3 linked regions of the Oryctolagus cuniculus genome follow. The protein of the gene in region 3 interacts with the protein of the main gene of each other region in a pairwise test. Links are inferred from orthologs where the notes say so. Each region holds a gene or a part of one and is shown on either strand. Other genes may lie near its edges.

Evidence for each region.
Region 1: the proteins of TRIM69 (region 3) and FAM110A interact in binary tests that used the Homo sapiens proteins (3 or more experiments, as listed by UniProt). The two-hybrid records come from large-scale screens. The link is inferred for Oryctolagus cuniculus from reciprocal best matches to the Homo sapiens genes TRIM69 and FAM110A.
Region 2: the proteins of TRIM69 (region 3) and SF3A3 interact in binary tests that used the Homo sapiens proteins (3 or more experiments, as listed by UniProt). The two-hybrid records come from large-scale screens. The link is inferred for Oryctolagus cuniculus from reciprocal best matches to the Homo sapiens genes TRIM69 and SF3A3.

The regions. Positions count from the first base shown.
Region 1 is NC_091442.1:26,842,990-26,846,725, forward strand, and holds the end of FAM110A (protein FAM110A), read left to right. Parts: intron 1-1,669; 5' UTR 1,670-1,780; coding exon 1,781-2,668; 3' UTR 2,669-3,235; downstream 3,236-3,736.
Region 2 is NC_091438.1:134,823,326-134,826,843, forward strand, and holds part of SF3A3 (splicing factor 3A subunit 3), read left to right. Parts: intron 1-216; coding exon 217-299; intron 300-945; coding exon 946-1,084; intron 1,085-1,702; coding exon 1,703-1,771; intron 1,772-3,055; coding exon 3,056-3,123; intron 3,124-3,286; coding exon 3,287-3,394; intron 3,395-3,518. UniProt on the Homo sapiens protein: Component of the 17S U2 SnRNP complex of the spliceosome, a large ribonucleoprotein complex that removes introns from transcribed pre-mRNAs.
Region 3 is NC_091443.1:67,645,997-67,649,514, forward strand, and holds part of TRIM69 (E3 ubiquitin-protein ligase TRIM69), read left to right. Parts: intron 1-1,728; coding exon 1,729-2,205; intron 2,206-3,518.

The sequences.
Region 1 (3,736 bases), on a different chromosome or scaffold from region 3:
GAGAGAGAAAGAGAAAGGTCTTCCTTCTGTTGGTTCACCCCCCAAATGGCTGCTACAGCTCCTCTGAAGCCAGGAGCCAGGTGCTTCCTCCTGGTCTCCCATGCGGGTGCAGGGCCCAAGCACTTGGGCCATCCTCCACTGCCTTCCCGTCCACAGCAGAGAGCTGGACTGGAAGAGGAGCAACTGGGACAGAACTGGTGCCCCAACCAGGACTAGAACCTGGAGTGCTGGCGCCGCAGGTGGAAGATTAGCCTAGTGAGCTGCAGCACCGGCCAGTCCCCAAGATTAAGTGCCCTCCATTTATAGATGAGAAGGTTCAGGACCTGTTGTGTGAGTTTTCTTTCTTTCTTTAAAAAAAAAAAAAAAAAAAAGATTTATTTATTTGAAAGGCAGAGCGAGAGAGAGAGTGAGACTGAGACCTTCCACCCACTGGCCTACTCCCCAGATGCCTACAACAACCAGGTCTGGGGCCAGGCCATGGCCAGGAGCCAGGACCTGGTCTCCCATGTGGGTGGTGGGGGCCCAAGTACTTGGGCCATCTTCTGCTGTCTTTCCAGGTGCATTAGCAGGAAGCTGGATTGGGATCAGAGCAGCCAATACTCAAACTGGTAGTTCCAATATGAAATGCTGGTGTCGTGAGCAGCAGCTTAACCCGCTGCACCATAACACCAGCACCCTGTATGGGTTTTCTTTTGCCCCATCTCCAGGGGGCCTGGCTAGCAGGGGGTGAGGAGGTGGGTGGGGAGTGCTTTGGGCCCCAGGCCTACCTTGGAAACAGGGAGAGGTTTGGCTTGATGTCTGGGGCTTTGGGCCCTGTCCCTTGGGCAGCCATGAGGACACGGGGGCTCCCAGGCACGGCCCCCCCCCCCCCCCCCCGCCTGTGAGTGCCTGTCCCATGGCTGCGGGCCGGTGGAGAGTCTGCTGGTGCCTCTGTGCAGGGCTGTGTGATCTGGGGCACTTCCGGCTTCTCTTGCAGCAGCGTAGCTCGGGGCTGACGTTTCTACCTGACAGGCCTGGCACGGGAGTGCCGGACTGGAAGGTTGTCTGGACTCCACTGGGCAGGGGTGGGGATTTTCTACGCGCAGGTTTGCTACATGCTGTGCTCCTGTGCCTGGGGCCTGGCGTGCCCGGGCAGGATGATGGCACACAGCAGCTTCCTGCCTGGGTGGCGGAGGGCTGGAGGTGGAAACGGGCTCCCTGTGGGCAGTCCAGGTGGGGTGTGGGGCTGGAGCCCTTTCTCTTCGTCCCTTAACTTCAACACCACCAATTTTTGGGTTAGCTGAAGCAAACTGGTGGCTTCCCGGGGTTCAGTTTCCCCAGCTGCAAAGTGGAGCTGTTGAGAGGACACTGAGGCCGAGCTGGCTGGAGCCCGTGCAGTCTGGGGCCCGCACGCTCGCTTTACAGCACGCCCTCCCCAGCCTTTCCCCCACACCTTTTCTCCCTCTGCCTCTGCTGTGCCTGGTCCTCCCTATCCAAACCCACTTCGCAGGAGGGAGGGGGTGTGGGTGGGGCCACAGGCCCTTGAGCGTTGACTTTGCCTGCCGATTGGCTCTCTATGAATAGAGGGCGTGGCTTTCACCTTATAATAGGGAAGGCGTCTTTGCCTGGCTCAGCTTGGCCGAGCCTTTGTCTGAGCGAGCTCAGCCCCTTTTTCTTTCCTTCACCGCAGCCGTTGCGGGCGTCCAGATGCCGTTTTGGGCTGCCAGCTGCCGGCTTTCTACCTGAATCTGTCTCCTTGCTCTGATCTCCATACACCCACGCCTCGGGGTATGTAACAGCCATGCCTGTGGACACGCTGACCCCTGGAGCCCCAGCCGCCCCAGCCCTGCCTTTCCGCCTGCGGACTAAGGTCCCCGGTTACCTGCTTCGGAGGCCAGCAGACGGTGGAGCCCGGAAACCCAGTGCTGTGGAGCGCCTGGAGGCCGACAAGGCTAAGTACGTGAAGAGCCTGCATGTGGCCAACACCCGCCAAGAGCCCGTGCAGCCCCTGCTGTCCAAACAGCCCCTCTTCAGCCCCGGGACTCGCCGCACAGTGCTCACGCCCAGCCGCCGGGCCCTGCCTGGCCCTGGCCGCCGACCCCAGCTGGACCTGGACATCCTTAGCAGCCTCATCAACTTGTGTGATAGTCCCGTGTCCCCTGTCGAGGCCAGCTGCGCCCCTGCACAGGCGGAAGGCGTCCGCCAGGCTCCCCCAGCCACGCCTCCACGCCCGCCCCCCACGACGGCTGCGGTCCGCAGAGTGGACGTCCGCCCGCTGCCTGCATCTCCGGCCCAGCCTTGCCCGTCGCCCAGCTCAGCCACCGCCTCCAGCCCAGCCCGGCCGCCGGGCCTGCAGCGCTCCAAGTCGGACTTGAGCGAGCGCTTCTCCAGGGCGGCCGCCGACCTCGAGCGCTTTTTTAACTTCTGCGGCCTGGACCCTGAGGAGGCACGGGGGTTGGGCGTGGCCCACCTGGCACGGGCAAGCTCGGACATTGTGTCCCTGGCCGGGCCCAGTGCTGGGCCGGGCAGCTCCGAGGGCGGCTGCTCCCCGCGCAGCTCCGCCACGGTGGAGGAGCGTGCCCGGGAGCGCGTGCCCTACGGCGTGTCGGTGGTGGAGCGCAACGCCCGCGTCATCAAGTGGCTCTATGGCTTGCGGCAAGCCTGGGAGACCCCAGCGGCGGAGGGCTAGGCCTCTGCTGCGCTGGGAATTCACCGCAGGACACGTCTTGGAGGGGCCCTTGGCCCTTGACCTCTTGCATCCACTCCCTAGCTATGGGAGATCGGACACCTCCTGGGGGAACTTGGTTTGGAGGCCAAGGCTGAGAGGCTGGACCAGCAGCTTCTGGCTAGGACTGAGCCTGGAGAGGGTTGCTCTTGGCTTTGGGCCCCTCTCCCCCAAGTTCATGGCCTTTGACACCAATGTATCCTCTCTGGTGGGGCTGGATGTGGGGTGCTCAGCCCTCCCCACTGAGGGTTAGCGGCCCGGGGATCTGGCTGAGCCTGTCTGCCCAGTGACCATTTCCTCCTTCCTTCCTGGGCCTCTGACCCTTGCCGACTTCCTCTTCCTTACCCAGAGGGCCCCCGCTCCCTGGCAACTCACCCTGGGGTGGGGGCAGGGACCCGGGGCCTGCCCACTGCTCTTCCTGGTCTTTGGCTGTCGGCCTAGGTGGATAGACTACAAGAAGGACTGGTTAGAAGCCTGCACTGCTCTGATTTCCCTCCCCCTGGTTAATAAACACACGTGCTTGTTTCCCAAGGGCTTTCTGTGTTTACCAGGGGAAGGGTGGGAGAACCGTGGGGTGCAAACTTCACGTCTTCGCCATTGTTCACCCTGGGGTCCTGTGGGGGCACGTGTGCACCTGGCCCTGCGGGTGTCCTCATCACTCCTCCCTCTGGGAGGCTGGCAGGTGTCCTGCATGGAGGAGGAGACTGTGCAGCCCAGCCACAGGGGGGAGTCAGCACAGAGCTGGGAACAGTGCTGGGAAGGGGATCTGCAGGGGATGGGCCGGGGGGGGGGGTGCCTGGACCCTCCCCTGCACCCCGCCCAGGTCCCAGGGAGGCAGGAAGCCTGGGGAGGGCTGACGAGGAACTTATCACACAGACGGTAAAGGGAAGAAGAGGACTGGGGGTGGGCAGTGCAGAGTGAGTGGCCTTGCCTTGAACTCTGGGGGATCCTGGGCCAGCCAGTCTCCTCCCTGGGCCTCGTGGGAGGGTGGGACAGTTAGGGTCGCCCGGTCCTCCCTCCTGGGTATTCCGG
Region 2 (3,518 bases), on a different chromosome or scaffold from region 3:
TAGAGTTGTGGTGTGTCTGCTGGCCTTCCACTGAGTCCAGTGGAAATATCTCTAATATTGGGGACTGATCCATGGTGGAGGTAGGGGGGAGACTAAAATAGCCAACTCTTGTTACTTTCTTAGAAAGTACTCAATTTTGATCTCACTTACTGAAGATTACATCAGTTTGATGCAAATACTTAATTGAATCTCTTTCCATTTTCCCCCTCTTTGCAGAAGCTGGATTATATCACATACCTGTCTATTTTTGACCAGTTATTTGACATTCCTAAAGAAAGGAAGAATGCGGAGTATAAGAGGTAAGCGTTAGTAGCTGCCAGGGCTCTACTTGATTGTATTAGAAGATACTGTGAAGGTTCAAGGGAAGCGTTCTGAATTCTGCTGGAAAGGCAAACGTGAATGGTTTCCAGATTTATTGCAGGTTAGGGTTGTAAATGATACAGTTTTAAAGAATTTGTGGTACACTGACTTTGGGCAAGCATGTGTCTGTGGGCACATCCGATTTCACGCCCGTACTGTTGTTGATTTTGTCTTATTGTAGAAGGAAGTCTCTCACTCAGAAACTTCGGTTTTTGGAGTTTAGAGAAGAAAAATTTCTCAGATTGTGGCTTAAGTGAGGGGCCTGGGTCTGCTGTATAAATGAAAAGTTACATTTATGCTAATTATGCCACCGCTTAGTGAGCCTGCATCCTTAGCTCCCTGTGTTTTTCTTTTTACCTGCAATCTTTTCTGTAAGAGTTAATTAAGACTTTAGTGCTTGACATTATGTCACAAGGATGAAAGCAGGTAGGAAAAATCAATCAAAATGATACGGTGGGGGAACGTCAATTGTAAACTTAAAAATGAGTTATTACTTTAGTAACTAGCACTATTAGAATTGTAAGTATACTACAGAGAGCATAGCGATGTATTGAAAACAGAACTGTTTGCTGTCTGTGGTGTCAGATATCTGGAGATGCTGCTTGAGTACCTTCAGGATTACACAGATCGCGTGAAGCCCCTCCAAGATCAGAATGAACTCTTTGGAAAGATTCAGACTGAGTTTGAGAAGAAGTGGGAGAATGGTACCTTTCCTGGTTGGCCGGTGAGCTCCAGTGGGGTTTGGGTTTATTTTCCTTTAATCTTGAGTGTCTGCTTAGGGCAGGAGTGGGGAAAATCCAGCCCATGGGCTGTATGAGGCCCACAAAATCATTTGATCTGGCCCTGCCAAGGCAGCAGCGGGTGGAACTTGAAGTTCTATAACAGGCTAATTTTTAAGTTGATGATTTTGGATGGCTTGAGAATGATGTTATAAATATCCAGATGGCTCTTGGCAGAAAAAGTATTCCCTACCTCCACCCAGGGCATTAGGATGTTGTTGGTATCAGTTGTGGCCGTGAGGCGTTGTTCCTACCAGGTGTGCTCGGTTTGCTCTGTGTACGTTGGAACAAGGTTTGTCAGGGCCCATTTGCCGTTGACTGAGCCCTGCTGACCAAAGTTCATTTAAATTATGTGATGATGATCGGTGTTTTCACTCCTGGGGATGTTGCCTGATCCATCAGGGAGAAAATGTACCTTCTGTTTTTTTCTGTGCTCGTGTAAAAACTCGCTCCTTATTTATAAATGTGTATAAAAAAGGGACCCACCAACACCTTTTAATGTAAACAGCTCCCTTACTCTGGTCCTAAACCTGGATTTTCACAAACATCATTGTTCTTGCCAGAAAGAGACAAGCAGCGCACTGACCCATGCTGGGGCCCATCTTGACCTGTCTGCATTCTCCTCCTGGGAGGTAGGTTTTTGTCAGCAGCATCTCTGATCTGTCCATCTTTGAAAACAGCCACACACTCTCCTGCTTTAATGCCATGGACGCGTTATCTTAGGGCACCATTTTCTGGGACCAGGTGTTAACAGAGAATGTGGAAAGAGAAAAATAAATTCACAGCTTTGAAAGTAATTTTTTTTCTCCCCAGAAACCTTTATTTAGGGAATATAAACCTCATGCATTTCCTAAGTACAACTTTAGGAACGTAGTGATTCTTCCCAGAATACTCACCCTCCCATCCACACACCCACCCCACTTCCTTCTCACTCTCCTATTCCCATTCTTATTTTCCACTAAGATCTATTTTCAGTTAACTTTATACACGTACGATTAACTCTTAGTATAGAGTTTAATGAATAGTATGAAAAAAATGTTCCTCAGCAGTTGAGACAAGGGCTGTTCAAAGTCATTGTATCTCAAGGTGTCAATTTCACTTCTATAGATTACCTTTTAGGTGCTCTGTTAGTTATCAGGGAGCACATACAGTATTTGTCCTATTGGACTGGCTTATTTCACTAAGTATGATGTATTCTAGTTTCATCCATTTTGTTGCAAACAAGATTCCCTTTTTTTTTTTAACCACTGTGTAGTACTCCAAGGTGTACATATCCCATAATTTCTTTATCCATTCTTCAGTTGATGGACATTTGGGTTGATTTCACATCTTAGCTATCGTGAATTATGCTGCAATCTTTTTTTTTTTTTTTTTTAATTTTAAGATTTACTTATTTACTTGAAGTTATGGTGAGGGAGGGAGAGACAGAGAACTCATCCATGTGCTGGTTCACTTCCCAAATGATCACAACAGCTGGGTCTGGGCCAGGCTGAAGCCAGGAGATTTTTCTGGGTCTCCCACATGGGCCCAGGCACTTGGGGGATCTTCCGCTGCTTTCCCAGGCACATTAGCAGGGAGCTGGATTGGAAGTGGTGCAGCCAGGACTTGAATCAGCACCCATATGGGATGACAGCATTGCAGGCGGTGGCTTAACCTGCTACACCACAGTGCCAGCCCCAAAAAGGACTAATTCTAACTACATTAGGTTGTGGTGGAAGGAATGGAACACTACCAGATGGTTCTGTCTGGACATGACCACAGAGTCAGTCTTGTGGAGGCTTTGCACTTCCTCAAGGAGATTGACTCTGGGCTGCGTGGCCCTGCCAACTTCAGGAGCACCCACACACCAGCTTTCGTTTGTTGTTGCCCAAAATCTAGTTCTGTGTTACTGGAACCTGTCTCTCTCATTTATGCAGGAGCTGGCCTCCTTGGGTCTGGACAGACTGAAATCTGCCCTCTTAGCTTTAGGCCTGAAATGTGGTGGGTAAGAGAATGACTTTTCTATCGAAACTCCTACTTAGTGTGCACATGTTTACGTGATTTTCTAAGTATTTTTTGTATATTTTCCCATCATCACTTACTGTAAAAACAAGCAAGCATGTATGGTATGAAGTAACCCTGTAATACTTTGTTCCTCCTGTCTCTAGAACTCTCGAAGAGCGAGCCCAGAGGCTGTTTAGCACCAAAGGAAAGTCCCTGGAGTCCCTTGACACCTCTCTCTTCGCCAAAAATCCCAAGTCAAAGGGCACCAAGCGGTGAGTGGCTAAATGGCGCCTTTGCGTGTGAATTTTTTTTTTTTATTATTTATTTATTTTTTATTTTTTTGACAGGCAGAGTGGACAGTGAGAGAGAGAGAGACAGAGAGAAAGGTCTTCCTTT
Region 3 (3,518 bases):
TCTAGGCTCCCTGGTTGATTGGATGGTTCCCACTTATATTCAGGACTAATCTGCCCCACTCAGTTCACTGACCTACCGCCAATCTTCTCTGGAAACCCCTTTATGGATATGCTGAGGATGATTTACAAATTCTCAAGGCATCCTTCAACTCAGTCAAGTTGATATCAAAAATCAACCATCACAATGTGTTATCTTCATTTTTAAGTTTATCCATCACTTCCTTCTTCCCTTTCTTCTAGTGTACACTTTTGACCCCCTTCTCTTTTCATTTTCTTTATATTTAGGGGTTTTTCCCTTAGTGATTACCCAGGAGGTGACAGTTAATATGCTAACTTTATAATAATCCAGTGTTATTAATACTTGGTTTCAGTAATATAAAACAGAAAATTTTAGTAGAAAAATTCTGCTCTTTTTTCAGCTCCATATCCTCCTTTATATTGCTGTTGAATAAATTATATTTTTATACACTGTATCCGTTAACACAGATGTATAATCATAGTTTTATCCATTGTCTATTAAATCATATGGGGAAAAAGATGAGTTAGAAACCATCAACTGCAACATTACTAGCTGTTATATTTACTTATGTAGTTACTTTTATTGTATTTAAATGGTTTTGAATTATTTAGTGTCCTTTCACTTTAATATAAAAGATTCCCTATAATAGTTTATGTAGAGCAGGCATATTAGCTATTTCTTATAAGGTAGATATACCAGGAAAATCTTTAGTTTGTGTTTATCTGGGAATGTCTCAATTCATCCTTCATTTTTGACAAATATTTTTTATGGATATAGAATTCTTGATTGATAGTTTGTCTTTTTTTTTTTTTCCTTTCAACATTTCAAATATCTCGCTACTTTCTGGTCTCTATGTCTTCTGAAGAGAAGTCAGCTGTTGATCTTACGGAGGATCTTTTACATATGATAAGTCACTTCTCTCTTGCTGCTTTCAAGATGCCCTTTTATTTATGAAATTTATTTATTTATTTGAAAGGCAGATGGACAGATATATAAATATATATGATGGGACAGAGAAAAAGAGAGAATGTTAACAGTTTATCTGTTCTGGTTCTCACAGAACTGGATAAGCCAACTAGTTTCTATCTTTGACAACATTAGTGGAGGAATACAGGCTACGATATCTCCAAAATCACCTGCTCCCAACCCCGACATAGATGGTGTGGGCCCCATCCGAGATCAGTTTTCCTGCCCCTCCAACCTCACAGTTATGCACCATTGCCAGACCCTCTCTGCCAGTCCACAAGCAGCACATACGTGTTTTTAAATAAGGACTGGAGTGGAGAAAGGCCTGGATGGTTGATGATATCATGCCAATGGCTGAGGAAACTGACTGATATTCCAATGCTTTGTAAATGATTTCTAGAAAATCAAAACAAGGCTAATAACTACTAGACCTGCAGCTGAAAGTAAAACTTTCTACTGACACATATAGAAAGTAGGTGGTGAGAGGGATGTAAACAATACATATTTCTTTGGTTGAGCAGTCTTTTTTCTTGGGCCTTGACTCCCTATTAAAGTTTAAACAGTATCATAAGCTATTATGTTAGAAAAACACTGAATTTATTGGATCAGTTTCAAAGGTGAGATTTTGTACTTTTATTCTAGTTCTGTCAATTCTCAGTTCTTTTAGGAACAGAGGCCACCGTCCTAGAGTGCTGAAATGGACAATGAGGAAGAGAAACTCATTTAAGCTATTCTTTTCCAAAGGTATCCTCCAGACCCTCCTCCAACACAGATCCAGGCAACTATGTTGAAGTGAATGATTCAATCACCCACATGCCGTCCAAAGGGGTGATACAAGATATTACTATGGAGCTACACTGCCCACTGTGTGACGACTGGTTCCGTGACCCACTAATGCTAAGCTGTGGTCACAACTTCTGCCAGGCCTGTATCCAAAACTTTTGGAAGCTGAAAGCTAAGGAAACATTCTGTCCTGAGTGTCAAATGTTATGTCAATACAGCAACTGTACGTTCAATCTTGTACTAGAGAAGCTGGTGGAGAAGATTAAGAAGCTACCCCTACTCAAGGGCCCCCCACAGTGCCCAGAGCATGGAGAGAACCTGAAGCTGTTCAGTAAGCCAGACGGGAAACTGATCTGCTTTCAATGCAAGGATGCCCGTTTGTCTGTGGGGCAATCTAAGGAGCTCCTGCAAATCTCCGATGCTGTCCGTTTCTTCATGGTGGGTGAGCCCAGGCTTCACACAACCCCTTAGGAAAGCTAGGGAAAATCTTTTGTAGCCTCTTCTGTCTTCTAAGTTCACTTTATTCCAATGATGATAAAGAGAAGCTCAGAGTGCTCAGGAAATACAATGCAGCTGGCAGAGTTCTTTCTCTACAGTTGCTGCTTACAGGAATGGGACAGTGGAACTCTCCCCCTTCAGTCAAATATTTGCTTAGACTCTGCCATGACAGCACTCTACCAAACATTGCAGAATAATGATGCTCTCATTAGAAAGGTTTTCAAGTCTATTCAAGTTTAAAGTGATTAAAATAATGGAAGAAATATCAAATAGTCTACTATGGGGAGTTAAATTTTGTTATGTTTGTAATTCATAAGTGTTTAGAATTTCTGTGATCAGAGAAAGCTGGATAGGGTATGCATAATGAAAGAAAAAGGATAGGGCTTGAACTGGAATTTGAACGAGTAGGAGGAAGAAACAAGTATTCCAATTGAGGACAACATAAGTAAAAGTATAGATGAGAACAGTATAACTAGAGTGGAAAATGTATTGAGTTCCATTATCTTTTTCAAACCCCTATAGTTAACTATTAGAGCAAAACTAAATTTTTCTGCTTGTAATTTTCTTCATAGTCCTTGAAAAATATGGGAGCTATGATACAGGGGAAAGGGGAAAACCTTTTTTTTTTTTTTAATTTAAAACTTATAGGAGCTGTCGCTGTGGCATAGCAGGTAAAGCTGCTGCCTGCAGCACTGGCATCTCAAATGGGTGCCAATTCAAATCCTGGTTGCTCCACTTCCTATCCAGCTCCCTGCTAATGTGTCTGGGAAAGCAGCAGAGGATGCTCCAGGTCCTTGGGCTCCTGTACCCACATGGGAGACTTGGTGGAAGGTCTTGGCTCCTGGCTTCAGCCTGGCCTAGCCCTGGTCATTGCAGCCATTTGGGGAGTAAACCAGCAGATGGAAGACCTCTCTCTCTCTCTCTTTCTCCCTCTCTCTCTCTCTGTAACTGTCTTTCAAATAAATAAAATATAAAAAAAAGAATTTTATTTGAAAGGCAGAGCAAGAGAATGAGAGCGAGAGCTAGAGAGAGAGAGAGAGAGAGAGAGAGAGAGAGAGAAATCTTGCATGCACTGGTTCACTCCCCCGATGACCACAACAGCCAGAGCTGGGTCAGGACCAAGTTAGGAGCCTGGAACTTTATCTGGGTCTCCCAGTTGGGTGGTAGGGACTCAAGTACTTGGGATATTTTCTGTTACTTTCTAGGCACATTAGTATGGACTGGATTGGAAGCTGAACAGCCAGAACTCAAAG